Linked DNA regions of Anolis sagrei. The protein of the gene in region 2 interacts with the protein of the main gene of each other region in a pairwise test. Links are inferred from orthologs where the notes say so. Each region holds a gene or a part of one and is shown on either strand. Other genes may lie near its edges.

The links.
Region 1: the proteins of KIF2A (region 2) and MRPL53 interact in binary tests that used the Homo sapiens proteins (3 or more experiments, as listed by UniProt). The two-hybrid records come from large-scale screens. The link is inferred for Anolis sagrei from reciprocal best matches to the Homo sapiens genes KIF2A and MRPL53.
Region 3: the proteins of KIF2A (region 2) and LARP1B interact in binary tests that used the Homo sapiens proteins (3 or more experiments, as listed by UniProt). The two-hybrid records come from large-scale screens. The link is inferred for Anolis sagrei from reciprocal best matches to the Homo sapiens genes KIF2A and LARP1B.
Region 4: the proteins of KIF2A (region 2) and FAM13C interact in binary tests that used the Homo sapiens proteins (3 or more experiments, as listed by UniProt). The two-hybrid records come from large-scale screens. The link is inferred for Anolis sagrei from reciprocal best matches to the Homo sapiens genes KIF2A and FAM13C.

The regions. Positions count from the first base shown.
Region 1 is NC_090024.1:39,152,149-39,160,081, reverse strand, and holds the start of MRPL53 (large ribosomal subunit protein mL53), read left to right. Parts: upstream 1-4,843; 5' UTR 4,844-4,890; coding exon 4,891-5,012; intron 5,013-7,933.
Region 2 is NC_090022.1:269,547,659-269,554,859, reverse strand, and holds the start of KIF2A (kinesin-like protein KIF2A), read left to right. Parts: upstream 1-4,026; 5' UTR 4,027-4,190; coding exon 4,191-4,254; intron 4,255-7,201. UniProt on the Homo sapiens protein: Plus end-directed microtubule-dependent motor required for normal brain development. May regulate microtubule dynamics during axonal growth. Required for normal progression through mitosis. Required for normal congress of chromosomes at the metaphase plate.
Region 3 is NC_090025.1:39,203,427-39,211,051, forward strand, and holds the start of LARP1B (la-related protein 1B), read left to right. Parts: upstream 1-4,548; 5' UTR 4,549-4,963; coding exon 4,964-5,294; intron 5,295-7,625.
Region 4 is NC_090023.1:164,360,893-164,368,510, reverse strand, and holds the start of FAM13C (protein FAM13C), read left to right. Parts: upstream 1-4,514; 5' UTR 4,515-4,807; coding exon 4,808-4,872; intron 4,873-7,618.

The DNA.
Region 1 (7,933 bases), on a different chromosome or scaffold from region 2:
AGGAAGAAATGCGTTCGGATAGATAGGCTGGGCTGGAACCGTTTAGGGCTTTATAGGCTAAAGCCAGCACTTTGAACTGAGCCTGGTAGCAAACTGGCAGCCAGTGGAGCTGATGCAGCAGAGGAGTTGTATGCTCCCTGAGCCCTGCTCCTGTTAGCAACCTGGCTGCCGCACACTGGACCATTTGAAGCTTCCGGGCCGTCTTCAAAGGCAACCCCATGTAGAGCACGTTGCAGTAATCTATGCAGGATGTAACCAGAGCGTGTATTCTCCAGAGCTTCTGATAATTTAAGTCCAAGTTTGGACCACCAAATGTTTTAGATGATGATGATGATGATGATGATGATGATGATGATGTCCATTAGCCACTAGCATCGACCCAGCTGTTAAGGCAGGCATGGGCAAACTTCAGCCCTCCAAATGTTTTGGACTTCAATTCCCACAATTCCTAACCGCAGGTAGGCTGTTAGGAATTGTGGTTGTTGTAGTCCAAAACACCTGGAGGGCTGAAGTTTGCCTATGCCTGTGTTAAGGACAGGTTGGAGTTGTGGCTCCAAAGGAGCCCATCCTGTCCTCAGAAAAAGCATAACTATTAGTTCTTTAACAAGGGGTGGAGAACGTTGGCTCTGCAGGTGTTTTTTACACAACTCCCATTGGTTTTGACCAGTTTGGTAAATTCCAAAGGGTAGTATGAGTCGTACTTCCAAAAATCTGGTATACTGGCTTTGCACAGAGTTACTGAATTATCTCTCTCTGTGCATTGTTTAGTTCAGACAGGGAAGATGGATAATGTAGTCCTACAACATTGAAAGGACCAAAGGTTTCCCATCTCTGGCGAGACCTGCCCTGTCTAATGGCTGTTGTGACTATTGATCTAAGTGGCCAGGTGCAAAAAAGAAGACAAGGGCACTGTGCTGTCGCATGCTGGGCCTGTGCATAAGACTGTAGACAGGACATACATTCTGTGTGCCCAACGGGACGCCGGGGCTGCCTCAGATTAAAGGTCTTTGGATTTCCTTAAATCACAGTCTCTAGAATGCTTAAAGGTTCCACAAAGTTCTTTATTAATGAAAACAAACAGGGACTTTAAAGCTTTCTTAACAGTCTATTGGCTCTCTCTCAGTCTTGTCCACAGGGAACAGGCACTATCTTCATAAACTGTATTTAGCTAATAGGGAAATCCTTAACTTCTAATCTGGGCAGTCTGTCTTTGCCTCTGTTGGCGTGGAGCCCCTGCACCCAGTACCAACTGTGTCTGGTTTCCACGAGTGACCCTTACCAAGCAGAGCTTTGTAGACTTCCAGAGGAAAAAGGAGTTCAGGTTTCGGTGATGGCTGGCTGAAGTCCTTCAGCAAAGGAGCTGTAAGGCTGTATGATCCTCGGCCAAGCTGTGGGTTGTATAACCCCGGCCAAGCTATAGAAGATGAAGCTTTCTACAGGAACTCTTGGTGTTACGTCCTGCATGGAAAGCTTCTCTGTGTGGACTGAACCCAAACTGGCTCCTATTCCCTCCAAAACCCAAAGGGGGCGGGACCAGGGAACCTAACTATAATTGACAGGTGGCTTGCCCTATGATTGCAGCCAAAAGAAGCCACCTATCTGCAGAGTCCCTGAAACTTAGGACTACAACAAACATTCAATGCAAAGCAAACAAAATTGGAGCTCCTGGTACAGTTGTACCTGCACAGGCACTGTGCACAGAAGAGGATATTTCACCAGTTATAGCTTGTCATACAAACAATGTTGAAATTCCCACTTCTGTAAAACTATGAAGGCAGCAGGAACCTGGCTTCTTTTACATCCTATTTTACAAAGACAAAAGAAAATTTAGATTAATACTTCCCAAATGAGTTGTTATTGTACCATTTTAACTATTCGAATTATTTCCCCTCTATATGATTACATATTTATTGAAGGTATGTTGCACGTTGCTACAAGTTGGCCCTGGACTTGAGCAAAATTGGTTAGTTTTCTGTGTTGTTAATTGTGCGGAAAGGGATTTTGTGCTGGTACAACTGCACCAGGAGCTCCAATTTTGTTTGCTTTGCATTTAATGTTTGTTGCAGTCCTAAGTTTCAGGGACTCTGCAGATAGGTGGCTTCTTTTGGCTGCAATTATAGGGCAAGCCACCTGTCAATTATAGTTAGGTCCCCTGGTCCCACCCCCTTTGGGTTTTTGGAGGGAATAGGAGCCTTTTTGAGTCCAGTCCACACAGAGAAGCTCTCCATGCAGGACATAATACCAAGAGCTCCTGTAGAAAGCTTCGTTTTCTATGGCTTGGTCAGGGAGATATACAGCCTACAGCTTGGCCGGGGAGAAAAGGCCCACAACTTGGCTGAGGATTTTACAGCCTTACAGCTCCTTTGCTGAAGGACTTCAGCCAGCCATCACTGAAACCTGAACTCCTTCTTTTCCCCTGGAAGTCTACAAAGCTCTGCTTGGTAAGGGTCGCTCGCAGAAGCCAGATGCAGTTGGTACCGGGTGCAGGGGCTCCATGCCAACAGAGGCAAGTACAGACTGCCCAGATTAGAAGTTAAGGATTTCCCCATTAGTTAATTACAGTTAACAACCTCTGTACATGGCATTCATCGACCTTGCAAAGGCATTCGACACAGTGAATCGCAGCGCTCTCTGGACCATCCTCCAAAAAATCGGGTGCCCAAACAAATTTGTGAACATCCTGCGGCTCCTCCATGATGACATGATGGCAACAGTTTTGGACAGCAGTGGCTCCCAAAGTGACCCATTTAAGGTGGAATCGGGTGTCAAACAGGGATGTGTTATTGCCCCAACTTTATTCTCCATCTTCATCGCTATGATACTTCACCTTGTTGATGGGAAGCTTCCCACTGAAGTGGAAATAATCTATCGGACAGATGGCAAGCTATTCAACCTCAGCAGACTGAAAGCCAAAACCAAGGTTACAACAACATCTGTTATAGAACTCCAGTATGCTGATGACAACGTCGTCTGTGCGCATTCAGAAGAAGATCTACAAGCCACTCTAAACACCTTCGCAGAAGCATACGAGAAGCTCGGCTTGTCATTGAACATTGAAAAAACCAAGGTGCTTTTCCAGCAGGCACCAGCCAATCCCTCTCCAATGCCAGTGATACAGCTTAATGGTGTAACATTAGAAAATGTTGTTCATTTCCGTTACCTTGGCAGCTACCTCTCCACCAAAGTCAACATCGACACCGAAATACAACACCGCCTGAACTCTGCAAGCGCAGCATTTTTCCGAATGAAGCAGAGAGTGTTTGAGGACCGGGACATCCGTAGGGATACCAAGGTGCTTGTTTATAAAGCTATTGTCCTCCCAACCCTGCTCTATGCCTGTGAGACGTGGACTGTCTACAGACGTCACATGCAACTCCTGGAACGATTCCATCAGTGCTGCCTCCGGAAAATCCTGCAAATCTCTTGGGAAGACAAGCGGACAAACGTCAGCATGCTGGAAGAAGCAAAGACCACCAGCACTGAAGCGATGGTCCTCCGCCACCAACTCCGCTGGACCGGCCATGTTGTCCGGATGCCCGACCACCGTCTCCCAAAGCAGCTGCTCTACTCCGAACTCAAGAACGGAAAACGGAATGTTGGAGGACAAGAAAAGAGATTTAAAGATGGGCTCAAAGCCAACCTTAAAAACTCTGGCATAGACTGTGAGAACTGGGAAGTCCTGGCCCTTGACCACTCCAGCTGGAGGTCAGCTGTGACCAGCAGTGCTGCAGAATTTGAGGAGGCATGAGTGGAGGGTGAAAAAGAGAAACGTGCCAAGAGGAAGGCGCGTCAAGCCAACCCCGGCCGAGACCGCCTTCTGCCTGGAAACCAATGCCCTTACTGCGGAAGAAGATGCAGAGCAAGAATAGGGACCCACAAGAATATTGGAAGACAATCATCCTCGGAAAGCGAGGGATCGCCTAAGTAAGTAAGTAAGTAATTACAGTTAAGAAGATAGTGCCTGTTCCCAGTGAACAAGATTGCAAGAGCCAATAGACTGTTAAGAAAGCTTGAAAGTACCTGTTCATTTTCATTAATAAAGAACATTGTTGAACCTTTAAGCAATCTAAAGACTCTGGGGGAATCCAAGGGCCTTTAATCTGAGGCAGCCCCGGCGTCCCGTTGGGCACACAGAATTTATGTCCTGTCTACAGTTTTATGCACAGGCCCAGCGTGCGACAGCACAGATTTCGTCATTCTCTTTGGCCCGGCCATCATCTTGTGCCACATCAGGAGCTTCGTAAAGGGATCGCGCAATACGACAGAATCATAATCGGCTATTTGTTCTCAGTCTCAAAAAAGTTTTACGAACTTTGACGGTGTCGCCATGTTCGCTTGTTACAAAATAAATGTTATGGCATCTGAAGGAGCAACAGATTTACTGCGGCATACGGTTGCTATCATTGGCCTCGAGGGCCTTTCACACATCTGATGAAGGTAGGCTCTGGTCCAAGGGAACATATGCCGCCCTCAATGTGGCCCAAGACTCTGCTGTCAAGGTTTGGCAAAATAATTTTTTTTAAAGTGTGTCTTCTGCCATCTTGTGGCAGAACTGTTTTAATTGAGTCTCAAATATTTTCCAGCCATGGGCAAACTTGGGCCCTCCAGGTGTTTTGGACTTCAACTCCCACAATTCCTAACAGCCGTAGGCTGTTAGGAATTGTGGGAGTTGAAGTCCAAAACACCTGGAGGGCCCAAGTTTGCCTATGCCTGTTCTAGACTGTATTTGCAGCCATAGAAGGGAAAGGGTTAACTGTGAGCTTTGACTACATTTCCCAGAAACCCACGCGAGGGTTGAATCTGGACAGTGGCGCAAAGGCTACTGGGAATGGTAGTTTTCCAGCCGAAACCACCACTTAACTTTCTTTTTTCAGTCAGGGGAGGCCGAAAATGGCGTTCGTGCTGCCGAGGAAGGTGTTCGTGCTGCCGAAGAAGGCGGGGGTGTCGCTGAAGCAGGTGAAGAGCATCCTCGTCCGCTTCTGCCCCTTCGAGGCCAATGTGGAGAGCACCAGGTGAGGAGGAGGAGGAGGAGGAGATGGGCCCTCTGCAGAGGCCTAAAGGGGAAAGAAGGCCTTCGCTCTCCATTGAAGCCCGCGTCGCGTAGTTCCTTGATTCTTCATTGATGGCAGGATAGACGCCTAATTAATCCTGAAATGTTCTCAGGCCTCATACAGCTGGTTAGATCATAGAATAATAGAGTTGGAAGAGACCACATGGACCATCTAGTCCAACCCAACGCACAATCAAAGCACTCCTGACAGATGGCCAGCCATCTGTTTATAGAATTCTAGACTTGGAAGGGAGTATAGAATTCTAGACTTGGGAGCCCTCAAGGTCAACCAGTCCAGCCCCCTTCTGCTATACAGGAAGGCACAATCAAAGCACCACCAACAGCCAGCCTCCAAGGAAGGAGCTTCCACCACACTCTGAGGCAGAGAGTTCCACTGTTGAATTATTATTATTATTGGGTTGTTGTAGGTTTTTCCGGGCTATATGGCCATGTTCTGGAGGCATTCTCTCTTGACGTTTTGCCTGCATCTATGGCAAGCATCCTCAGAGGTAGTGAGGTCTGTTGGAAGTAGGAAAAATGGGTTTATATATCTGTGGAATGACCAGGGTGAGACAAAGGACTTTTGTCTGTTGGGGCTAGCTGTGAATGTTTCAGCTGATCACCTTGATTAGCATTCAATGGCTTGGAAGGGCCTGGGTGGAATCTCTTGTTGAGAGTGATTTTATGTGCCTGTTTGTTTCCCCTCTGCTGTTTTGCTATTGTAATTTTAGAGTTTTTTAATACTGGTAGCAAGATTTTGTTCATTTTCATGGTTTCTTCCTTTCTGTTGAAATTGTCCACATGCTTGTGGATTTCAATGGCTTCTCTGTGTAGTCTGACATGGTGGTTGTTGGTGTGGTCCAGCATTTCTGTGTTCTCAAATAATATGCTGTGTCCAGGCTGGTTCATCAGGTGCTCTGCTATGGCTGACTTCTCTGGTTGGAGTAGTCTGCAATGCCTTTCATGTTCCTTGATGCGTGTCTGGGCACTACGTTTGGTAGTCCCTATGTAGACTTGTCCACAGCTGCATGGTCCACAGTAGTAATATTATTTATTTATTTATTTATTTATTTAAAAGTTTTATATACCTGTCTTCTCCACCTCCGGAGAAGACTCAGAGGGACTCAGGTCAGTTCACAACATATATTCAAACAACAGCAATACAAAAACAATACAGTAAATCATCATTAAACATTAAAACCTAAAATACAGTAAAAATACCTCATCACATTGCACAAGGCAAGTCGTCAAATAGAGTTACGATTCATCACCATCCTTCCCTATGCACAGGGTTATTGACTCACTCGTCAAATGCCATATTCCAAAGCCAGGTTTTTAGTAGCTTTCTAAACGACAGGAGGGAAGGGGCAGATCTAATCTCTAGTGGAAGGGAGTTCCAGAGCCGGGGAGCCACCACCAAGAAGGCCCTGTCCCTCGTCCCCACCAGACGCGATTGTGAAGGTGGTGGGACCGAGAGCAGGGCCGCTCCTGAGATCTTAATAACCTTTTTTTTTTTTTTTGAAGTAATTTTTATTGAACATTTTATAAATCCACACAAGGAAAGAGGGGGAACAATAACAAGGAGAAAGGTAAGTAGGAAAAAAGGAAAAAAGAAACAACAAAAACATAACAACACACCAAATAAACAACATATCTACCTAAACTAATCTAAAATGACTTCCACTCCAACCTCGGGATCTTCTCACACTTCTTCTTCATCTTACTTGTCTATTCTTTTCCTCTATGACTTTTCTAAATTTCTTTTCATAGTCATAAAAAGAAGACCAATCTGTCCTCTTTAACGATTTTCCGGTATTTCTTCTCATTAAAAAAGTTAATTCATCCATGTCTCTTATTTCTTTAACTTTCTCCAACCATTCTTCAATGGTCGGTATTTGATCATTCTTCCAAAATTTGGCAAAAATAATCCTTGCCGCTGTGGTGAAATAAGTAAACAGTTTATCTTCATTCTCCTCCAGTTTGAGTTCAGAGTCTGTGAATCCTAATAAGTAATATTCTGGTTTCTTTTTGAACCTCTTATTCAACATCTTTTGTATTTCCACATGAATAGAGGCCCAAAACTTAGTTGTATCTTTACATGACCACCACATGTGGTAAAAGGTGCCTGTTTGTTCCCCACATTTCCAACATTTATCTGAAACATTTTGATACATGTGACTAAGCTTATTCGGTGTCAAATACCATCTATAAAACATTTTATACCAATTTTCTTTCAAGTCCATGGCATAAGTATATTTCAATTTTTTGTTCCATATTTGCTCCCATTCCCTAAATTGAATGGGCCTTCTTAAGTTTTCCGCCCACTTAATCATACATGTTTTCACCTGTTCAGTTTCCGTTAACCACTGGATCAATTTATTATACAATATTGTAACTATTTTCTTTTGTGTTTTCAATATTTTATCCCATGTGTTTTCTTCCCAGTCAAAACCAATTTTTTGATCTTGTTTAAAGTATTCTTTAATTTGTAGGTAATGTAACCAGGTTATATTACCATAAGAGTTCTTAAGTTGTTCAAAAGATTTAATCTCCGTTTTCCCTTTTAGCAGGATGTCCTTATATCTTGGCCAGACCCTCCATCCTAAAAGTCTTCTTTGATGGGCCTCCATTGCTGAGACCCATAATGGAGTAGATTTGTAGAAGAGGGTTTTGTATCTCATCCATGTCCTCAGTAGGGAGGCACGCACAAAGTGGTTACCAAAATTCTTTTCCTGAGAGATCTTAATAACCTTGATGGCTCATAGGGGAGAATCCGTTCGGACAGGTAAATTGGGCCGGAGTCGTTTAGGGCTTTATAGGTCAGCTCTTACAGTCAGGAAGTTCTTCCTAATGTTCAGTTGGAATCTCTTTTCCTGTAATTTG
Region 2 (7,201 bases):
GCCTGGGCCAACTCGGGCCCTCCAGATGTTTTGGTCTGTAACTCCCACTATTCCAAACAGCCTCAGCCCCCTTCCTTTCCCACCTCAGTTGCTTAAAAGGAACGTGCCTGAGGCTGTTATGAGCTGTGGGCGTTGGATTCCAAACTCCAATGCCAGAGATACAGCTTAATGTAACATTAGAAAATGTTGATCATTTCCACTACCATGGCAGCCACCTCTCCACCAAAGTCAACATCGACACCGAAAAACAACATTGCCTGAGCTCTGCGAGTGCAGCATTTTTCCGAATGAAGCAGAGAGTGGTATCCGTAGGGATACCAAGGTACTTGTCTATAAAGCTATTGTCCTCCCAACCCTGCTATATGCCTGGGAAATGTGGACTGTCTACAGACATCACATGCAACTCCTGGAACGATTCCATCAGCGCTGCCTCCGGAAAATCCTGCAAACATCTTGGGAAGAGAAGTGGACAAACATCAGCGTGCTGGAAGAAGCAAAGGCCACCAGCAATGAAGCGATGGTCCTCCGCCATCGACTCCGCTGGACCGGCCACATTGTCCGGATGCCCGACCACTGTGTCCCAAAGCAGTTGCTCTATTCCGAACTCAAGAACAGAAAACGGAATGTTGGAGGACAGGAAAAGAGATTTAAAGATAGGCTCAACGCCAGCATTAAAACTGGGTTGCTGTAGGTTTTTTTGGGGCTGTATGGCTATGGTCTAGAGGCATTCTCTCCTGACGTTTCGCCTGCATCTATGGCAAGCATCCTCTGAGGTAGTGAGGTCTGTTGGAACTAGGAAAAAGGGTTTATATATCTGTGGAATGACCAGGGTGAGACAAAGGACTCTTGTCTGCTGGAACTAGGTGTGAATGTTTCAACTGACCACCTTGATTAGCATACAATGGGCTGACTGTGCCTGGAACAAACTTTTGTTGAGAGGTAATTAGATGCCCCTGCCTGCTTCCTCTCTGTTGTTGTGCTGTTGCAATTTTAGAGTTTTTTTTAATACTGGTAGCCAGGGCCATAGCCAGAAAAACTTTTTTGGGAGGGGTTGAAATTTTCGGGGTGGGGGTGGGGGGTTGAAACCTGCCTCCTTGCTCATGCTGAAGCAAAGAGCACAGCAGGGGGCAGATCAGCCTTCAATAGCCTGCAGCTCCGCCCCTGTCAACCACCTCCACCAAGTCTGGCCTCCTTAATGAGAGCATTCAACACACACACACCCAACTTGGTTGCTTCACTACATCGGCTATTGCTGCAAGTAATGACAGTGTGAATAAATTGCCAATATTTGCTTGAATTAGTGCTTACAGTTCTGGAGGGACTCTTAATTTTTTGCATCTCATAGACTTAGCATGGGGATTTGGTTAACCAGTTAAAATTCATGAGTAAACCAGGTTTTTTTAAAAAAAATCTGAAACATTTCGGGGGGGGGGGGGTTGAACCCCTAAAACCACCCCCTCGCTACAGGCCTGCTGGTAGCCAGATTTTGTTCATTTTCATGGTTTCCTCCTTTCTGTTGAAATTGTCCACATGCTTGTGTATTTCAATGGCTTCTCTGTGTAGTCTGACATGGCGGTTGTGAGAGTCGTCCAGCATTTCTGTGTTCTCAAATAAAATGCTGTGTCCAGCCTTAAAATCTCTGGCATAGATACTGAGAACTGGGAAGCCCTGGCTCTTGAGCGCTCCAGCTGGAGCTCAGCTGTGACCAGCAGTGCTGCAGAATTTAAAGAGGCACGAATGGAGGGTGAAAGAGAGAAACCCCCGACCGAGACCGCCTTCCACCTGGAAACCAATGTCCTCACTGTGAGAGAAGATGCAGGTCAAGAATAGCGCTCCACAGCCACCTACGGATCCACAAGAATACTGATGGAAGACTATCCTAGTTGGCTAACGAGGGATCGCCTAAGAAGGATTCAAAACAATGTATTGTCGAAGGCTTTCATGGCTGGAATCACTAGGTTCTTGTGGGTTTTTTCGGGCTATATGGCCATGTTCTAGAGGCATTTTCTCCTGACGTTTCGCCTGCATCTATGGCAAGCATCCTCAGAGGTAGTGAGGTCTGTTGGAGTTAGGAAAATGGGTTTATATATCTGTGGAATAACTGGGGTGGGGCAAAGAGCTCTTCTCTGCTGGAGCTAGGTGTGAATGTTTCAACTGACCACCTTCATTAGCATTTGAAGGCCTGGCTGAGCCTGGGGGAATCTTTTGTTGAGAGGTGTTAAGATGTGCCTGGTTGTTTCCTCTCTGCTGTTTTGCTGTTCTAATTTTAGAGTTTTTTAAATGCTGGTAGCCAGATTTTGTTCATTTTCATGGTTTCCTCCTTTCTGTTGAAATTGTCCACATGCTTGTGGATTTCAATGGCTTCTCTGTGTAGTCTGACATGGTGGTTGTGAGAGTGGTCCAGCATTTCTGTGTTCTCAAATAATATGCTGTGTCCAGGCTGGTTCATCAGGTGCTCTGCTATGGATGACTTCTCTGGTTGAAGCTCAGCCAGGCCTTCAAATGCTAATGAAGGTGGTCAGTTGAAACATTCACACCTAGCTCCAGCAGAGAAGAGCTCTTTGCCCCACCCCAGATATATAAACCCATTGTCCTAATTCCAACAGACCTCACTACATTGTCGAAGGCGTTCATGGCTGGAATCACTGGGTTGTTGTAGGTTTTTCCGGGCTGTATGGCCATGTTCTGGAGGCCATTTTTCTCCTGACGTTTCGCCTGCATCTATGGCAAGCATCCTCAGAGGTAGTGAGGTCTGTTGGAAGTAGGAAAAATGTGTTTATATATCTGTGGAATGACCAGGGTAATGTTTCAGCTGATCAAAGTGTTCTTGCCATACATCAAGGGAACCACTGACCGCATAGGGAAGCTGATGAGGAAACACAACAGCCTTGGCAGACCGTGCAAAAAGAATCTGCGAACCCCACCTCCTCCAAGATGAACTGAACCACCTCAACTGGGCTCTCCAGGCCAATGGAGACTCCACCTCAGACATCAGAAGAGCTGCAAGACCAAGAACAAGCCACGAGAGTAAAGATGAAGATCCACCCAGAGGAAAAGTGTTCCTGCCATACATCAAGGGAACCACTGGCCGCATAGGGAAGCTGATGAGGAAACACAACATACAAACTATCTACAAACCCACCAAGAAAATCCAACAAATGCTACGTTCAGCAAAGGACAAGAGGGATCCTCTCACCTCTGCAGGAGTCTACCGTGTACCATGCAGCTGTGGACAAGTCTACATAGGGACCACCAAACGCAGCATTGCCCAAACACAAATCAAGGAACATGAAAGGCACTGCTGACTACTTCAACCAGAGAAGTCAGCCATAGCAGAGCACCTGATGAACCAACCTGGACACAGCATATTATTTGAGAACACAAAAATGCTGGACCACACCAACAACCACCATGTCAGACTACACAGAGAAGCCACTGAAATCCACAAGCATGTGGACAATTTCAACAGAAAGGAAGAGACCATGAAAATGAACAAAATCTGGCTACCAGTATTAAAAAAAACTCTAAAATTACAACAACAAAACAACAGAGAGGAAGCAATCAGGGACAGCTAATCACCTCTTAAGCCGCTCCTCATAGGGCTTGTTCTCCAGACCCTTGATCATTTTAGTCGCCCTCCTCTGGACACATTCCAGCTTGTCAATATCTCTCTTGAATTGTGGTGCCTAGAACTGGACACAATATTCCAGGTGTGGTCTAACCAAAGCAGAATAGAGGAGTAGCATTACTTCCCTGGACCTAGACACTATGCTCCTATTGATGCAGGCCAAAATCCCATTGGCTTTTTTTGCCGCCACATCACATTGTTGGCTCATGTTTAACTTGTTGTCCACGTTAAACATGTGATTCCCAAACACCTGGAGGGCCCCAGTTGGCCCAGGCGTGGCTGGGCGCCCTTTGCGGAGGAGGCGGGGCAACGCGGTCTCCTCAACCCGAATAGGCCACGCCCCTTTTGTTTGGCCCCTCCCACCGCTCCGCCGGTCCTTCAGCCGTGACGCCTCCACGGTCTGCGCAGCCGCAGTCGCTGCCGGCGACGGTTGTATCCGGCCGGCGCCTTTTTCTCCTCCTCCTCCCTTCTTCCCTCATCTCAACTGCCGTTGCTGCAGCCCTCGCTCCCCCCCCTCCTCCTCCTCCCTTCCGTTTCTCCCTCTCTCTGTCTCTATGACGCGATGGCAACGGCCAACTTCGGCAAGATCCAGATAGGGATCTATGTGGAGATCAAGCGCAGCGATGGTGAGCCGGCGAGAGGGAAGGGAAGGGTGGGGTGGGGAGGCTGAAGATGGAGGAGGAGGGGGAGGCCGGAGGGATGGAGGAAGGCTCGCCGTCAAGGCCCATTGTGAGGGGGGTGGTGGTAGTGGCGGCGGCGTGAGGCCTGTGAGGCGCTTTTCTGTGCCTGGTGGGGAATGTCTAATGCTGGGAGGGAGACATGGACGGCAGGGTGGGAGGTTGCTGCAGTGCTGCTGGGAGAGAGGCAAAGAAAGAGGGGAAGAGGCGAAGGAGAGAGAAGCAGCCCCCTTTCCTCGTGTGTGGGGCTGGTTTGAGGGACTGACAGGGGAAGGGCGTGACCCTCGGGTTTAAGAGGCCGGGGGGCCAGGAGAAGGCAGGGATCCTTGAGGGCTGGAGAGGCGTGTATTGTGTTGTGGGAGGAGAGGAATGGGATAATGCTGGTAGTGAGGAATGTATGACAGGGTGTGGACTCTGTGGCTCTATGAAATCCACATTGAAATGGATCTCTATTTGTTTATCTAGCCCAACCCACTGCCATGCAGGAAAAAGCACAATCAAAGTACCCCTGACAGATGGCCATCCAGCCCCCAAGAAAGGAGCTTCCACCACACTCAGAAGACCCTCCCACACAGCCCTACATCCCAGAATATCAAGGCAGAAAATCCCACATGATCAGAGTGTGGTCTCAGATAACCCAGTTCAAAACAGATATTGTGGGGTTTTCTGCCTTGATATTCTGGGATATAGGGCTGCTTGGAAGGGCCCTTAGATAACCCAGTCCTTTTTTCTATAAGCCTAAAAGCAGAGTTTTCTCTGGGCACCACAGTGTTCCTTTGCTTGAGTCAGGCTCATTCCACACAGCTGAAGAAAATCCACATTTTCTGCTTTGAACTGGGATACATGGCAGTGTGGACTCAGATAACCCAATTCAAAACAGATATTCTGGGATATAGGGCTGTGTGGAAGGGCCCTTAGATAACCCAGTCCTTTTTTCTATAAGCCCCAAAGCAGAGTTTCCTCTGGGCACCACAGTGTTCCTTTGCTTGAGCCAGGCTCATTCCACACAGCTGAAGAAAATCCACATTGTCTGCTTTGAACTGGGATATATGGCAGTGTGGACTCTGATAACTCAATTCAAAGCAGATATTTTGGGATTTTCTGCCTAGATATTCTGGAATATAGGGCTGTGTGGAAGGGCCCTGAAGCAGAGTGTTCCACTGCTGAAGCAGCAATACCCGTTCATTGATATAGGTGTATATGGGAACAGGAATAGGCAATGCATTTTCATCATGCACTTGTTGAATTGGGGGAGGGGGAGAGAAAGCACACCCTCTTTCCTTTCCTCTATAAGCCTAGAAGCAGAGTTCCCTCTGGGCCCCACTGTGTTCCTTTGCTTGAACCAGGCCCCTTCCAGACAGCTGAAGAAAATCCACATTATCTGCTTTGAACTGGGATATAGGGCAATGTGGACTCAGATAAACCAGTTCAAAGTAGATGTGGGATTTTCTGCCTAGATATTTTGAGTAATATGGCTGTGTGGAAGGTCCCTGGGAAAGATTCTGTGGGCCCTTCCACACAGACCTATATCCCAGAATATCAAAGAAGAGAATCCCACATTGTCTAGTTTGAACTAGAATATGTGGCAGTATGGACTCAGATAATGTGGGATTTTATTCAGCTGTGTGGAAGAGGCCTGGGTCAAGCAGAGAAACACTGTGGTGCCCAGAGGGAACTCTGCTTCTAGGCTTATAGAGAAAGGAGTAGGAAAGGGGGTGTGCTTCCTTCCCCCTCACCTCAACAAGTGCATGATGAAAATACAATGGGTATTGTAGCTTCAGCAGTGGAACACTGCTTCAGAGTGTGGTGGAAGCTCCTTCCTTGGGAGCTTTTAATCAGAGGCTAGATGGCCATCTGTCATGGGTACTTTGATTGTGCTTTTCCTACATGGTAAGGGATTGGACTAGATAGTCCAGGCACGAGCCATCTTCAGCCCTCCAGGTGTTTTGGACATCAACTCCAAAAATTCCCAGCCAGCTTTCAGGCTGTTAGGAATTGTGGGAGTTGAAGTCCAAAACACCTGGAGGGCTGAAGTTTGCCCATGCCTGAGATAGCCCATGTGGTCTCTTCCAACTCTGTTATTCTATGATCCTACCCATTACTTAAAGATGCATGTGAAGACTTTGGGGCTCAAAGAGAACTTGGCCTCATTGTTTATAGGTATGGTGAGGTTGGAGAGCCGACTTGTGTCCCTGTCTCTCTGTGTCAAACAGAGAAAGGCTTTGGTGCCTAGAGAGAACTTGGCTTCATGGCTTGTGGAAGGAAGGAGCAGGAAGGGGATGTGCTTTTTCAGATGTGCTTTCTCCCTCATCCTTTCAACAAGTGCATTATGAAAATATATCACGTATTCGCACTCCCACCTTAATGTGAAAAACCACATACTTGCCTGGATGGCAAGGGATACAGGGATGGTGAGATAAGAGAGCTGGTGTGTGTGTGTGTTTGGATTTGTGTGTGTCTTTTTTTGTTTGTCTTTGTGCCCAGAGAGAGCATGGCTTCATGGTTTATAGAGAAGGCTGCTTAAGTCCTCTCCCCTGAACAAGTACATTAAGAAAATATATTTCCAATCCCATCTAAGTGAGCTACGCTTGCATGAATGGCTGATACGTTGAGTAACCATTATCTATCTCAGTCACCCATGTGGACAACTTTGGATACTGGGATATTTTGGAATTATAGATAAGGGATGCTCAACCTGCATTTTTAATTACACTTATTAGATGAATGGAAGAATCCTTGGTAAGCTTCAGTATGCCCCCGCCCTTGTTATTTAGCACAAGTCTTGCTGTGTTGTGTTCAACTAAATAAGATCACCACTCTCCTTAGCACCCGGATGTTTGTCTTCCCGCCCCCTCAGGAGGGATGAAGTTCCTGTGTTGACTCAGCGTTTTCCATT
Region 3 (7,625 bases), on a different chromosome or scaffold from region 2:
TGAGCCAGGGCAAATTGGATGTTGTTATTGGGGAGATGTCAAGACTAAAGATAGACATTCTGGGGGTCAGCGAACTGAAATGGACTGGAATGGGCCACTTCACATCAGATGACCACCAGATCTACTACTGCGGACAAGAGGAACATCGAAGAAATGGAGTAGCCTTCATAATTAATAAGAAATTCGCTAAAGCGGTGCTTGGATACAACCCAAAAAATGACAGAATGATCTCAATTCGAGTGCAAGGAAAGCCTTTCAACATTACAGTGATCCAAATATATGCCCCAACCACAGCTGCTGAAGAAGCAGAAGTAGATCAGTTCTATGAGGATCTGCAGGAACTACTGGATAATACACCAAAAAGAGACATTATTTTCATTACAGGAGACTGGAATGCCAAGGTGGGAAGTCAAATGACAACAGGGATCACAGGCAAGCATGGTCTGGGAGAACAAAATGAAGCAGGACGCAGGCTGATAGAATTTTGCCAGGAAAACTCGCTGTGTATAACGAATACTCTCTTCCAACAACCTAAAAGACGGCTTTACACATGGACCTCACCAGACGGTCAACACCGAAATCAGATTGACTACATCCTTTGCAGCCAAAGGTGGCGGACATCCATCCAGTCGGTGAAAACAAGACCTGGGGCTGACTGTAGCTCAGATCACGAACTTCTTATTGCCCAATTTAGAATAAAACTAAAGAGATCAGGGAAAATACACAGACCAGTTAGATATGATCTCACTAACATTCCTAGCGAATATACAGTGGAAGTGAAGAACAGATTTGAAGGACTAGATTTAGTAAACAGAGTCCCAGAAGAACTATGGACAGAAGTCCGAGACATTGTTCAGGAGGCGGCAACAAAGTACGTCCCAAAGAAAAAGAAAACCAAGAAGGCAAAATGGTTGTCTGCTGAGACACTGGAAGTAGCCCAAGAAAGGAGGAAAGCAAAAGAAAACAGGGATAAGGGGAGATATGCCCAGTTAAATGCGCAATTCCAGAGGTTAGCCAGAAGAGATAAGGAACTATTTTTAAATAAGCAATGCATGGAAGTGGAAGAAGACAACAGAATAGGAAGGACAAGAGACCTCTTCCAGAAAATTAGAAACATTGGAGGTAAATTTCAGGCAAAAATTGGTATGATAAGAAACAAAGATGGCAGGGACCTAACAGAAGCTGAAGAGATCAAGAGAAGGTGGCGAGACTATACAGAAGATCTGTATAGGAAGGATAATAATATTGAGGATAGTTTTGACGGTGTGGTGAATGAATTAGAACCAGACATCCTGAGGAGTGAGGTTGAATGGGCCTTAAGAAGCATTGCTAACAACAAGGCAGCAGGAGACGACGGAATCCCAGCTGAACTGTTTAAAATCTTAAAAGATGATGCTGTCAAGGTGATGCATGCCATTTGCCAGCAAATATGGAAAACACAAGAATGGCCATCAGACTGGAAAAAATCAACTTATATCCCCATACCAAAAAAGGGAAATGCGAAAGACTGCTCAAACTTCCGCACAGTGGCCCTTATTTCTCATGCCAGTAAGGTAATGCTCAAGATCCTGCAAGGAAGACTCCAGCAATACATGGAGCGAGAGTTGCCAGATGTTCAAGCTGGGTTTAGAAAAGGCAGAGGAACGAGAGACCAGATTGCCAATATCCGCTGGATAATGGAGAAAGGCAGGGAGTTTCAGAAAAACATCTACTTCTGCTTCATTGACTATTCTAAAGCCTTTGACTGTGTGGATCATAATAAATTGTGGCAAGTTCTTAGTGGGATGGGCATCCCAAGCCACCTTGTCTCTCTCCTGAGGAATCTGTACAAGGACCAAGTAGCAACAGTAAGAACTGACCACGGAACAACAGACTGGTTCAAGATTGGGAAAGGCGTACGGCAAGGCTGCATCCTCTCACCCAACCTATTCAACTTGTATGCAGAACACATCATGCGATGTGCGGGGCTGGATGAATGCAAAGCTGGGGTGAAAATTGCTGGAAGAAACACTAACAACCTCAGATATGCAGATGACACCACTCTGATGGCCGAAAGCGAGGAGGAGCTGAGGAGCCTTCTAATCAAGGTGAAAGAAGAAAGCGCAAAAGCCGGGTTGCAGCTAAACGTCAAAAAAAACCAAGATTATGGCAACAAGAATGATTGACAACTGGAAAATAGAGGGAGAAACCGTGGAGGCCGTGACAGACTTTGTATGTCTAGGTGCAAAGATTACTGCAGATGCAGACTGTGGCCAGGAAATCAGAAGACGCTTACTTCTTGGGAGAAGAGCAATGTCCAATCTCGATAAAATAGTAAAGAGTAGAGACATCAGACTGGCAACAAAGATCCGCCTAGTCAAAGCCATGGTATTCCCTGTAGTAACCTACGGATGTGAGAGCTGGACCTTAGGGAAGGCTGAGCGAAGGAAGATCGATGCTTTTGAACTGTGGTGTTGGAGGAAAGTTCTGAGAGTGCCTTGGACTGCGAGAAGATCCAACCAGTCCATCCTCCAGGAAATAAAGCCCGACTGCTCACTGGAGGGAAAGATACTAGAGACAAAGTTGAAGTACTTTGGTCACATCATGAGGAGACAGGAAAGCCTAGAGAAGACAATTATGCTGGGGAAAGTGGAAGGCAAAAGGAAGAGGGGCCGACCAAGGGCAAGATGGATGGATGGCATCCTTGAAGTGACTGGACTGACCTTGAGGGAGCTGGGGGTGGTGACGGCCGACAGGGAGCTCTGGCGTGGGCTGGTCCATGAGGTCACGAAGAGTCGGAGACGACTGAACGAATGAACAACAACAACAAAATACACTCCCATTCCTCTTGAGTGGCATTGCCTTTTGGGGATTGCCTGTTCCAGTTGGTAAAGCTAAAGGTTTCCCCCTGACATTAAGCCAGTCGTGTCCGACTCTGGGGGTTGGTGCTCATCTCAATTTCTAAGTCAAAGAGACAGCGTTGTCCATAGACACCTCCAAGTTCATGTGGCCAGCATGACTGCCTGGAGCAACTACTGCAGTGCACCACCATGGCTATGGAATCGTGGGACATGTAGTCAAGTCAAGTCAACTCTATTTAAATCCTGTCCCATCTCTCCCTTGGGGACTCGGGGCTGTTTACAACATCAGTGGCAGCCATTCATTGCTATACTTTATTTATTTATCGCATCAGAAGCGAATTGAGGTACAGTTATAATGTATTTAAAACCAGTACAAAGATTAAAACTTGTAAAATGTCTTTTGACCTGAGTGCCTCTGGTGTCGTTGTGAGAAGGTCCTCCATTGTCCATGTGGCAGGGCTCAAGTGCCATACAACACAGTGAAACTAGTAAAGGACATTCGTGTCTGACTCTGGGGATTGGTGAAAACCTCCATTGCGAAGCCAAAGAGCCGGCTTTATCAGTAGTCACCTCCAAGGTAAGGTGGCCGGCATGACTGCATGGAGCACCGTGCCGGTATCTATTGATCTACTCCCATTTGCATGTTTTCGAACTGCTAGGTTGGCAGAAGCTGGGGCTAACAGCAGAAGCTCACCATGCTCCTCGGATTCGAACCTGAGACCTTTCGATCAGCAAGTTCAGCAGCTCAGCGGTTTAAGCCACTGCGCCACCGGGGGCTCCACACAGTGAAACTACATATACATAATAAATTAAATGCAAATAATTACACGCAAATAAACAATGTAGTAGTCTGGCGAGGCAGTGGAGAAGGCTTGCACAACTCCCAACTCATGGGATTCCATAGCGTTGAGCCAGGGCAGTTAAAAGCGGTGCCAGACTCTAATTGGAGTGGGTTGTTGTAGGTTTTTCCGGGCTATAATTGGAGTGTTTCCCTTCCAAAGCGGCTTTGGACTTCAGCTCCCAGAATCCTTCAGCATTGGCCGCGGAAGCCGGGTCTTCTGGGAGTTGAAGTCCCGGAAGATTAGAGTGGACAAATAAAGCCGAGGACGTTATGACGTCACAAGGTATACCCATTGGAAGCGTTGGGAAGAAGAAGCCCCGCCCTATTCAGTGGGGGAGGGTTGTCCTTTCTGGGCTTTGGCCCCGCCCACAATCCCGGGCGCGAGGAGGGGCAGAAAATAAGCCCCGCCCCTTCTAGCACGCGACAGCTGTGACGAGGCTTTAGAAGAGCAAGAGAGAGAGAGCCGAGGCTATACTGAGCTTTGGCCCCGCCCATCATCCCGGGCGCAAGGTGAAGGGGAGGAGGGGAAAACAAGCCCCGCCCCTTCCAGCACGCGACGGCCGTGACGAGGCTTTGTCCTTAGAAGAGCAAGAGTAGAGCCGAGGCTATGCTGAGCTTTGGCCCCGCCCACCATCCTGGCCGCGAGGAGGAAGAGGGGAAAACAAGCCCCGCCCCTTCTCCTGAGAGCAAGCGGACCTTCTTGGGCTTTGGCCCCGCCCATCATCCCGGGCGCGAGGAGGAGGAGGGGGGAGAGGAGGGGAAAACAAGCCCCGCCCCTTCTCCTGAGAGCAAGACCTTCTTGGGCTTTAAGCCCCGCCCATCATCCCGGGCGCGAGGAGGAGGAGGGGGGAGAGGAGGGGAAAACAAGCCCCGCCCCTTCCAGCACGCGACAGCTGTGACGAGGCTTTCTCCTTAGAAGAGCAAGGGGGCCCTTTAAGCCCCGCCCACCATCCCGGGCGCGAGGAGGAGGAGGAGGGGGGAAAGGAGGGGAAAACAAGCCCCGCCCCTTCCCGCACGCGACAGCTGTGACGAGGCTTTCTCCTGAGAGCGAGAGACACAGCAGAGGCCCATTCGCTACTTTCCGTCGCCGGCTCTTCCATCCTTCGGTTCGCCCTCCCTCCGTGTCGGCAGCGCGCGCTTGCTTGGCTCTTCTCAGAACGCTGCTGTTTTCCTCCCCCCCCCTTCCTCCCGCAAGACGGGGCTGCTGGCGGTTGGAAGCCCTGGCTGAGTGAGGCGAATGAGGAGCGTCTGAGGAGAAGGAAAAGGAGGAGGAAGGGCGGGCATGTCCTCCTCGGCTGCCCCTCAGCCACCAGTTCGAGGAGCGGAGGAGGAGGAAGACAAGAAGGCGGCGACATCTTCTTCTACTTCTACTACTACTACTACCGGCGGCGGGGCCTGTGCGGCGGAAGAGCGCCCTTCCAAGCAAGACGAGAGCAGCGACGACGACCAGGGCCCGGCCTTTCCACCTCCTCCTCGCCGTCACGTGACCGAGGCCCCCCTCCCTAAGGAGAACCCGTGGGCCCGCCGCTGCTGGAAGCCGGCCTCGGCCTCCTCCAGCTCGGCTTCCCCTTCCAGCGCTTCCGCCGGCAGCGAGGGCGAGCCTCACGACCCAGGTGAGGGCGGAGGAGAGGGGAAGAGGGGCGTCGTGGGTTGCCACACTCTTTCCCGCCTTCCTTCTCCTCTACAGCAGGGATGGGACAACTTAGGCCTTCCTTCCAGGTGGTTTAGACTTCAAGGCTTGGGCCTTCCTTGCAGGTGTTTTGGACTTCAACTCCCACCATTCCTAACAGCCTCAGGCCCCTTCTTTTTCCCCCTCAGCCGCTTAAGCTGTTAGGAATGGTGGGAGTTGAAGTCCAAAACACCTGCAAGGAAGGCCCATGTCTGGAGCACTTGCTCTCCTAATGGCGGCGACCCCGAATGACACCCAATTCGTGGGAAAGCAAGGCACTTCCTGGCGCCCTCCTTCAGTAGAGCAGAGCAGCGCGTCGCCAGATTAGGAGGATGAACCTGAGAAGGGGTGGGGCCTGCCTTAGAAGTTGTTTTACGAGAGCGAAACGGCTGAGACAGGGCTAAGTCGTGGTTGAGGTTAGCGTCTGGAAGCTACAGCTGGCGTTCAAAAAAAGAAAAAAAAAACACTTAAGAGGGGAATGATATCTTGGGGCCTTTCCACACAGACGTAGAACCCGGAATACCCAAGCAGATCATTCACCATGTCCGCTTTGAAGGGGAATGTCTTGAGTCCACACAGCCATAGAATTCAGAATAGCAAGGGAGATTCTCCTCAATACCTGATTTGGACTGGGTTATAATAATAATAATAATCTTTATTTATACCCTGCCACCATCTCCCCAAAGGGGACTCGGAGTGGCTTACATGAGGCCAAGCCCAGCGATTCATTACAGCAACATAAAATATAAACAAAATAGCATCACTGCCCAAGAACCCAGAATAGCAAGGGAGATCCTCCACAATACCTGATTTGAACTGGATTATAATAATAATAATGATAATAATAATCTTTATTTATACCCCGCCACCATCTCCTCAAAGGGGACTCAGAGCGGCTTACATGAGGCCAAGCCCAGCAATACATTAGGTTAAAGGTAAAGGTAGTCCCCTGACATTAAGTCCAGTCATGTCTGACTCTGGGGTGTGGTGCTCATCTCCTTTTCTAATCCGAAGAGCCGGCGTTGTCCGTAGACACCTCCAAGGTCATGTGGCCGGCATGACTGCATGGAGTGCTGTTACCTTCCCGCCTGAGCGGTACCTATTGATCTACTCACATTTGCATGTTTTCGAACTGCTAGGTTGGCAGAAGCTAGGGCTGACAGCGGAAGCTCACGCCGCTCCCCGGAATCGAACCTGCGACCTTTCGATCAACAAGCTCAGCAGCTCAGTGCTTTAACCCACTGCGCCACCGCAAACAAAATAACGTCACTGCCCAAGAACCTAGAATAGCAAGGGAGATCCTCCACAATACCTGATTTGAACTTGGTTATAATACTAATCTTTATTTATACCCCGCCACCATCTCCCCAAAGGGGACTCGGAGCGGCTTACATGAGGCCAAGCCCAGCGATACATTACAGCAACATAAAATATAAACAAAATAACATCACTGCCCAAGACCCTAGAATAACAAGGGAGATCATCCACAATACCTGATTTGAACTGGGTTATCTGAGTTCACACAGCCCAAGAACCCAGAATAACAAGGGAGCTCCTCCACAATACCCGATTTGGACTGGGTTATAATAATAATCTTTATTTATACCCCGCCACCATCTTCCCAAAGGGGACTCGAAGCAGCTTACTGGATTATTTGAGTCTACACTGCCATAGAACGCAGAATATCAAGGTAAATAATCCACAATATCTGATTTGAACTGGAATATCTGAGCTTGCTGACCGAAATGTTGGCAGTTCGAATCCAGGGAACGGGGTAAGCTCCCGCTGTTAGGCTCAGTTTCTATCAGCCTAGCAGTATGAAAACATGCAAATGTGAGTACTTCAATAGATATCGTATCTGATTTGAACGGAAATATCTGATTCCCCTTGGTGGCACAGCAGGTTAAACCACTGAGCTTCTGAACTCGCTGACCAAAATGTTGGCAGTTCGAATCCAGGGAGTGTGGTGAGCTCCCGCTGTTAGGCTCAGCTTCTGTCAACCTAGCAGTACGAAAACATGCAAAAGTGGGTAGATCAATAGATACCACTTCTGTGGAAAGGTAATGACGCTCTGTGCAGTCATGCTGGCCACATGACCTTGAAGGTGTCTATGGACAATGCCAGTTCTTTGGCTTAGAAGTGGAGATGAGCACCACCTCCTAGAGTCGCACACGACTAGACAATGTCAAGGGAAACCTTTACCTTTACTATCTAAGTTCACACTGCCATAGAACCCAAAATATCAAGACAAATCATGCACAATATCTGATTTCAA
Region 4 (7,618 bases), on a different chromosome or scaffold from region 2:
TTCTTGTTCCCCTGCCTTTTTGTCTTTGAGGAATGGGGCAAAGAGGCCAAACAACTGGTCTTAATGAAGCTTCCACAAGCCCCCTTTCTCATTGCTTCTCTTACCCTTGATCATTTTAGTCGCCCTCCTCTGGTAACTGGTCCTGAATCATTGTTCCCTCTTTAAGCCAGTTCTTGTGGGCCACAAAGGACAATAATTTCCACAATTGGCAGAAGTTTTATTTCTGTTTTCTTCTGCTTTCTTCTTATTACCTTTATCATCAAGATGTTTTCCACTGTGAATTAGCAAGAAGTTTTCAGCCAAGCACAAGTTGTTCTGATGGTACTCCGTTTTTGGTGGCTATTGAAGACTTCGAATGCATTTTTCCATTGCACAAATGGTTTAGCAACCAATGCACCAAGCTTCTGATGACCACCTTTACCCCCAACTTATCCTTCAAACACTACACTGTACTTACAGAGTGCACCTTGTACATGAAATGAGTAGGTTCACCAGGGAAATCTGCTGAACCATTTGGGTTGAAATCTTAGAAGGAGGCCTTCACCAGCAACCGATATTAAGCTATGACTAGGCAACTAGTGATTATTGCCAAGACTCAACACTAAAGCTATCTTGGTTTGGCAAGGTTTACACAGCCAAAGATTCAGAGCTTCAAGATTTTTTAGCATAATGTTTTAAGGACAACCTCAGTGGCCTGAGGCCCGGGGATTTTTAATGGTGATAAATGTCATTATTTATTATGCTTATTTTATATGTTTATGTAATATGTTTATGCAATGTGCTTTATCCTTTACTTGTTTGGGTTGAGGGGATGATGTGCCTTGAGAAACCAGACTTGGCCACGGTGCTTGAATGAAGGACCTTCCTTCTCTCCCTCCCTTCCCTTCTTTCCTCCCTTTCTTTCCTTTTCTTCTTTCCTTCTCCTTCCTTTCCTTCTTTCCCTCCTTCCCTTCCTTCCTGTCCCTCCTTCCTTCTTCCTTTCCTTCTTTTCCTCCCTCCCTCTCTTTCTTCTTTCCCTTTCTTCATTTCCTTCCCCTTCATTTCCTTCCCTCCTTTCTTCATTCCCCTCCTTTCTTTCCCTCCTTCCTTCCTTCGTCCTTCCTTCTCCTCCCTCCCTGTCCCTCCTTCTTTCTTTTCCTTCCTTCCCTTCTTTCCCTCCCTCCCTTCCTTTTTCCTTCCTTCATGTCCCTCCTTCCTTCTTCCTTTCCTTCTTTCTATGTAAGATATAAATACAATATTAAATGGAAGGGACAGTCAAGAAGTAATGAGAGAAGGATAGGATAACTTATGCTAGAAGATGGAAGCAGGAAGATACGCCAGACGAAAATGAGAGACTCACAAAAATCTTGGAAGTAAGAAATATGGACTGGCTTACATTTTTGATAACAAGAAGTAAAGGAATAAAAATGAAGGAAACAAACTGGGAAAAAGTGACGGGTTATTTTAAGCAAAGGAACAAAAAAATCCTGATATAATTGAAGAAGAGTTGGAGGAAAGGAAGAAGAGGAGAAAGAAGACAAGGAGAGAAGAAAGGGAAGGAGAAGAGGAGGAGGTTTGGATGAACGACAAAGAGGACCCTATGAAAACCTCGGGAAGTCGAAAGCAAGAAACCTTTTTTTTTTCTTGTTATTATTGTCTTATATGGGGCTTTTGGGCTACACTTCTCCTCTCTTCCCTCCCCTGCTATCTCTCTATTTCTCCTGTCTCTCTTGTCTATTATCTTTTGGTCACTATATCATTTCATATTTCGGGGAACTGATATATACACATACCCTATATCTCTTTTACTAGTAGCCTTCGCTACAAAGTTTTTATTTTTTTTAACTGTATTTGAAAACTGAATAAAGATTATAAATAAATAAATAAAAAAGAAGTAACGAGAGAAGGAGGGAAAGAGGAAAGGAAGGAAGGAGAGAAGGAGGGAGGGAAAGAAGGAAAGAAAAAAATATAGAGAAGCAAGGAAGGAGAGAAGGAAATAAAAAGTGAAAGGAAAAAGAGAGGGAAGAAAGGAGAGAAGGAACGAAAGATAATCATCATCATCATCATCATCATCATTTGTTTGTACCCCGCTAACATCTTCCGAAGGACTTGGTGCAGCTTACAAGAGGCCGAGGCCCAAACATCACAAAAACAGCAGCATCACAAATACAACAAAAAAAACCTCACAAAACAGTAATAAACATTAAAACAATAGCAAATAACAATAGACAATAATACCACGACACATTTAAAAACCAAAGCCGGGCCAATGTAATGATTAAATTTTTTTAAAATGCTGGGCATGGCAGGTGAAATAGATAGGTTTTTGGAGATAGGTGCAATGTGCAGACAATTGTAAATCTCTAGTAAAGTGCATTTAGGGATATGATGCTTGGAGTTTCCTATTCTGGGAAGGCACACTGGAACAACCATGTCTTCAAGCTCCTCCTAAAGACTGCCAATGTTGGGGCTTGTCTGATGTCCTTGGGGAGAGAGTTGCAGAGGTGGGGGGCCACCACAGAGAAGGCCCTATCCCTGGTCCCCACCAATTGCGCCTGTGATGCAGGTGGGATCGTGAGTAGGGCCTCTCCAGATGATCTGAGAGATCGTGTGGGTTCATATATGGAGATGCGGTCACGAAGGTAGGCGGGTCCCAAACTGTTTAGGGCTTTGTAGGTAAGCACCTGCACCTTGAATTGGGACTGGAAAATGAATGGCAGCCAATGGTGCTTCTTAAACAGGAGGGTTGACCCAGGCCCGTAGCCAGGATTTCGTTTCGGGGGGGGGGCTGATTTTTTTTCAGGGGGGGTTTCGGGGGGGCTGCGTTTCGGGGGGGGGCTGAGTCTGAGTGAAAGAGGGTCTAGCCTAGCAAACCTTTTGTATCATTACCCCAATACCCCCATGCATATGGGATATATTAAGTATGGTGATCAGATCATGATATGAATAAACATAACAGTTTAAATAATGCACCAGTAAGGCCTTTTCGCGAACCACCATGAAAATTTGGGGGGGGGGCTGAAGCCCCCCGAGCCCCCCCCCCTGGCTACATGCCTGGGTTGACCTCTCTCTGTAAGGAGCACCAGTTAACCTGGCCACCCCCCGTTGAACCAGTTGGAATTTCTGGGCCGTTTTCAAGGGCAGCCCCACGTAGCGCGCATTACAGTAGTCCAATCTAGAGGTGACTAAGGCATGGACCACCCTGGCCAGATCCACCTTCCCGAGATAGGGAAGGAACAGGGGCGGCTCGTCCATTACGCGAAGTAAGCGGTCGCAGAACACTTTTTTTTTGCCAGGGGCGCAGAGGCGCCTCTGTAAATGCCCCTCGACCTCCTCTTGAGGAGCGCCCCCTCAGCTCACAACAGCCCTAGCAGTCCGGGGGGAGCCTTGGTTTTGTTGCCTCGCTCCCGGGCGATCCTCTTCCCAAAGGGGCCGGGCCCTTGAGCCTCGCCTCGCCCCTCTCGTTCCTGCTCCACCCGGCCACCGGGTGCGCGAGCAGAGCCGGCGCTCAATCGTTCTCCGCGTTCGATCCCTTCCCCATGACCGGCTCCCTTTCCCAATCCCCCGTCGCTCCACCCGCCTCCTCTCCTCTCCCCGATCCGCGGGTGGGCCAAAGGGCGGAGCCGCCGTTCCTGGCCCGCTTCGGGTCCAGAGGCGTGTCTGAAGACCCCAGCGTGCGCACCAAAAATCGCCTCTTCTCCTGACTATCTCTTCAGCCATTGGGACCAAGAGAGAGAGAGAGAGAGCCCCTCCGGCTGGAGGTATCTCCCACCTCCGCTCCCTCCTTTGTTTTTGCGCCTACCTTCAGGAAAGGTGGGCATCTCCACCTCTCTCTCTCTCTCTCTCTCTCTCTCTTGATCCCAATGGCTGAGGAGAAAGTCAGGAGAAGAGGTGACTTTTGGTGCACACACCGGGGTCTTCAGGCACACCTCCGGACCCAAAGCGCGCCAGGCAAGGGAGCAAGTGCGGCAAGTGTAGTTACTGGGATGTATAGTTCACCTACAATCAAAGAGCATTCTGAACTCCACCAATGATGGAATTGAACCAAATATGGCACACCGAACTCCCACGACAAACAGAAAATATATATCAATGATTGGTTGGGGGGGCAGGGCGGGCGCCAAAATACTGTTTGCTTACCGTTGAAAATTACCTAGGGCCGCCTCTGGGAAGGAAGGAAGTATGTAACCAAAGAGCAAAGAAAAGGAGGAAAGAAACAGGTAGAGATGGAAGAAAGAAGAGAGATAGGGAAAGAAAACGAGGAAAGGAAGGAAAGAGGGAAGGGAGGAGAGAAAGAGGGAGGGAAGGTTGGCCACAGCAACGCGTGGCGGGTTCAGCTAGTAGATTCTATAACAAAGACACCTTTATGGGTTTCTTGCCAAAGAAGAGAATTAGGTTGGATAATCTGGCCCCAATATAAAGAATTAACACAAAAGGAAGAAGAAGAAGCAATAAATACATCGGGCGACAGGCTTGCTCCCACCCAGCCCTTGGTGTGTCTGGCCTGGAGTGCTCTTCTCCCTCCCTGCTTTGGAGTTGGGCTCGTGCAGGAAGAGCATCAGCATCCAAGGCCGGAGCCAAAGCGGGAGCAATGCCTGATGGGCGTTGTGGTTCGGAGGCCAGCCTTGCCTCCCCGGGGGTTCCTTGGGCGGCGAGCATGTGCAGAAGAGGCCAGGGTTCCGAGGAGCCGCGCATCCCTGCCTTGCCTGCCGCCTCCCCTCCTCCTCCTCCTCCCTTTGCCATCCCCGCTCCCCTTGCCATGCCGTGAAGAGCGAGCACCCAGCGAGACCTCGCCCGCCCGCCCGCCAGCCCTGCTGATCTGCCTCCGATGTTTTCTTGCTTCTGCTTCAGCCTCCAGAACCATTCCTTCAACAGCCCGGCTGCTTTGCCCGAGTAAGTGCCTGCTTTGCTCGCTCCAAGCGCAACCAGGGGCTTCTGCTGGGGGCTGGGCAGGGAAAGAAAGGCAGACAAGCCTCTCTCCCTTCCTTCCTTCCTTCCTTCCTTCCTTCCTTCCTTCCTTCCTTCCTTCCCAATAGCCAACCATTATACCTTCCCTGAATGATCAACCTGCCTGAATTGGCACACAATGCCTGCAACCTCTCTCTCTCTGTCTTTCTATCTCTCTGAAATGCCTCCTTTACATTCACTTGCATGGCTTTGCACCTTGAGATGACATTTGAGGGCATCTTCTTGGAACCAATGAGGGGGAAAACACACACACCAGCCTTGAAATGCCATTAAGGAGGCATGGCAGTGAGTAAGGAGGGTGCCAGGCTTTTTTAAGAGCCTGCCAGCCATCATGCCAGCAGGAGGGAAGAACTCACAATACCCATCGGAAAAAAAACCCCACAAACATATCCAGTGTACAAGGCTTCAGTATGTGCATGATCTTTTCGATAGCCACTGGGTTTGGTTACATGAGTGGACAGAGTGTGTTCGTGGCAGGGAAGGGAGCGAGACATGCTTGAATATCTATATCTATACATCTATATAGGTAATTTTCAACAGTAAGCAAACAGTATTTTTTGGCGCCCCCCCCCCCAACCAATCATTGATATATATCAGTGTTTCTCAACCGGGGGGTCGGGACCTCTGAGGGGGTCGTGAGGGGGTGTCAAACGGGTCGCCAAAGACCATCAGAAAACATAGTATTTTCTGTTGGTCATTGGGATTCTGTGTGGGAAGTTTGACCCAATTCTATTGTTGGTCGAGTTCAGAATGCTGTTTGATTGTAGGTGAACTATAAATCCCAATAACTACAATTCCCAAAAATCAAGGCCTATTTTCCCCAGACTCCACCGGTGTTCACATTTGGGCATATTGAGTATTCATGCCAAATTTGGTCCAGATCCATCATTGCATGAATCCACAGCACTCCTCTGGATATAGGTGAACTACAACTCCCAATCTCAAGGTCAGTGGCCACAAAACCCTTCCAGTGTTTTCTAATCGTCATGGGAGTTCTGTGTGCCAAGTTTGGTTCAATTCCATCATTGGTGGAGTTCAGAATGCTCTTTGATTATAGGTGAACTATAAATCCCAGCAACCACAACTCCCAAATTACAAGATCAATCCTCCCCCAACCCCATTAGCATTCAGATTTGGGCATATTTGGTTTTTCTGCTCAATTTAGTCCAGTGAATGAAAATACATCCTGCATATCGGATATTTACATAACGATTTATAAAGTAGTAAAATGACAGGTATCAAATAGCAACAAAAACAATATCATGGTTGGGTGTCACCACAACATATGGAACTGCATTAAGGGGTCACGGCATTAGCAAGGTTGAGAACCACTGATCTATATCTATATATCTATATAGGTAATTTTCAACAGTAAGCAAACAGTATTTTGGCGCACCCCCCCCCCCCAACCAATCACTGATATATATTTTTTCTGTTTGTCGTGGAAGTTCTGTGTGCCATATTTGGTTCAATTCCATCATTGGTGGAGTTCAGAACGCTCTTTGATTGTAGGTGAACTATACATCCTAGTAACTACACTTGCCGCACTTGCTCCATTGCCTGGCCTGCTTTGGGTCCAGAGGCGTGCCTGAAGACCCCGGCGTGTGCACCAAAAGTCACCTCTTCTCCTGACTTTCTCCTCAGCCATTGGGACCAAGAGAGAGAGAGAGAGAGGTGGAGATGCCCACCTTCCCTGAAGGTAGGCGCAAAAACAAAGGAGAGAGCGGAGGTGGGAGATACCTCCAGCCGGAGGGGCTCTCTCTCTCTCTCTCTCTTGGTCCTAATGGCTGAAGAGAAAGTCAGGAGAAGAGGCAACTTTTGGTGCGCACGCTGGGGTCTTCAGACACGCCTCCGGACCCAAAGTGGGCCAGGCGCGGCCGCTCCGCCCCTTGGCACACCCGCGGATTGGGGAGAGGAGAGGAGGCGGGTGGAGCGCCGGGGGATCGGGAAAGGGAGCCGGTCATGGGGAAGGGATCGAACGCGGAGAACGATTGAGCGCCGGCTCTGCTCGCGCACCCGGTGGCCGGGTGGAGCAGGAACGAGAGGGGCTAGGCGAGGCTCAAGGGCCCGGCCCCTTTGGGAAGAGGATCGCCCGGCAGCGAGGCAATAAGCTGAGGCTCCCCCTGGACTGCTAGGGCTGTTGCGAGCTGAGGGGGCGCTCCTCAAGTGGCGGTTGAGGGGCATTTACTGAGGCACCTCTGCGCCCCTGGCAAAAAAAAGTGTTCTGCGACCGCTTACTTCGCGTAATGGATGAGCCGCCCCTGTCTATATCTATATCTATATATATATAAATGCTCTGTGCATAATGAGTACCTTAAAAATAAAAGAACCAATGAACAAAATCACACCAAATTTGGCAACAAAATGTTTCACAACACAAGGAATGACCATCACTTGAAAAATTAGGATTTTGTCATTTGGGAGTTGTAGTTGTTGGGATTTATAGTTCACCTATAATCAAAGAGCATTCTGAAACCCACCAACGATGGAATTGAACCAAAATTGGCACACAGGACACCCCTGACCAACAGAAAACACTAGAAGGGTCAAGCTAGGATGGATCTGGACCAAACTTGGCATGGATACTCAATATTCCCAAATGTGGACACTGGTGGAGTTTGGGGAAAATAGACCTTGACATTTGGGGGTTGTAGTTGTCGGTATTGATAGT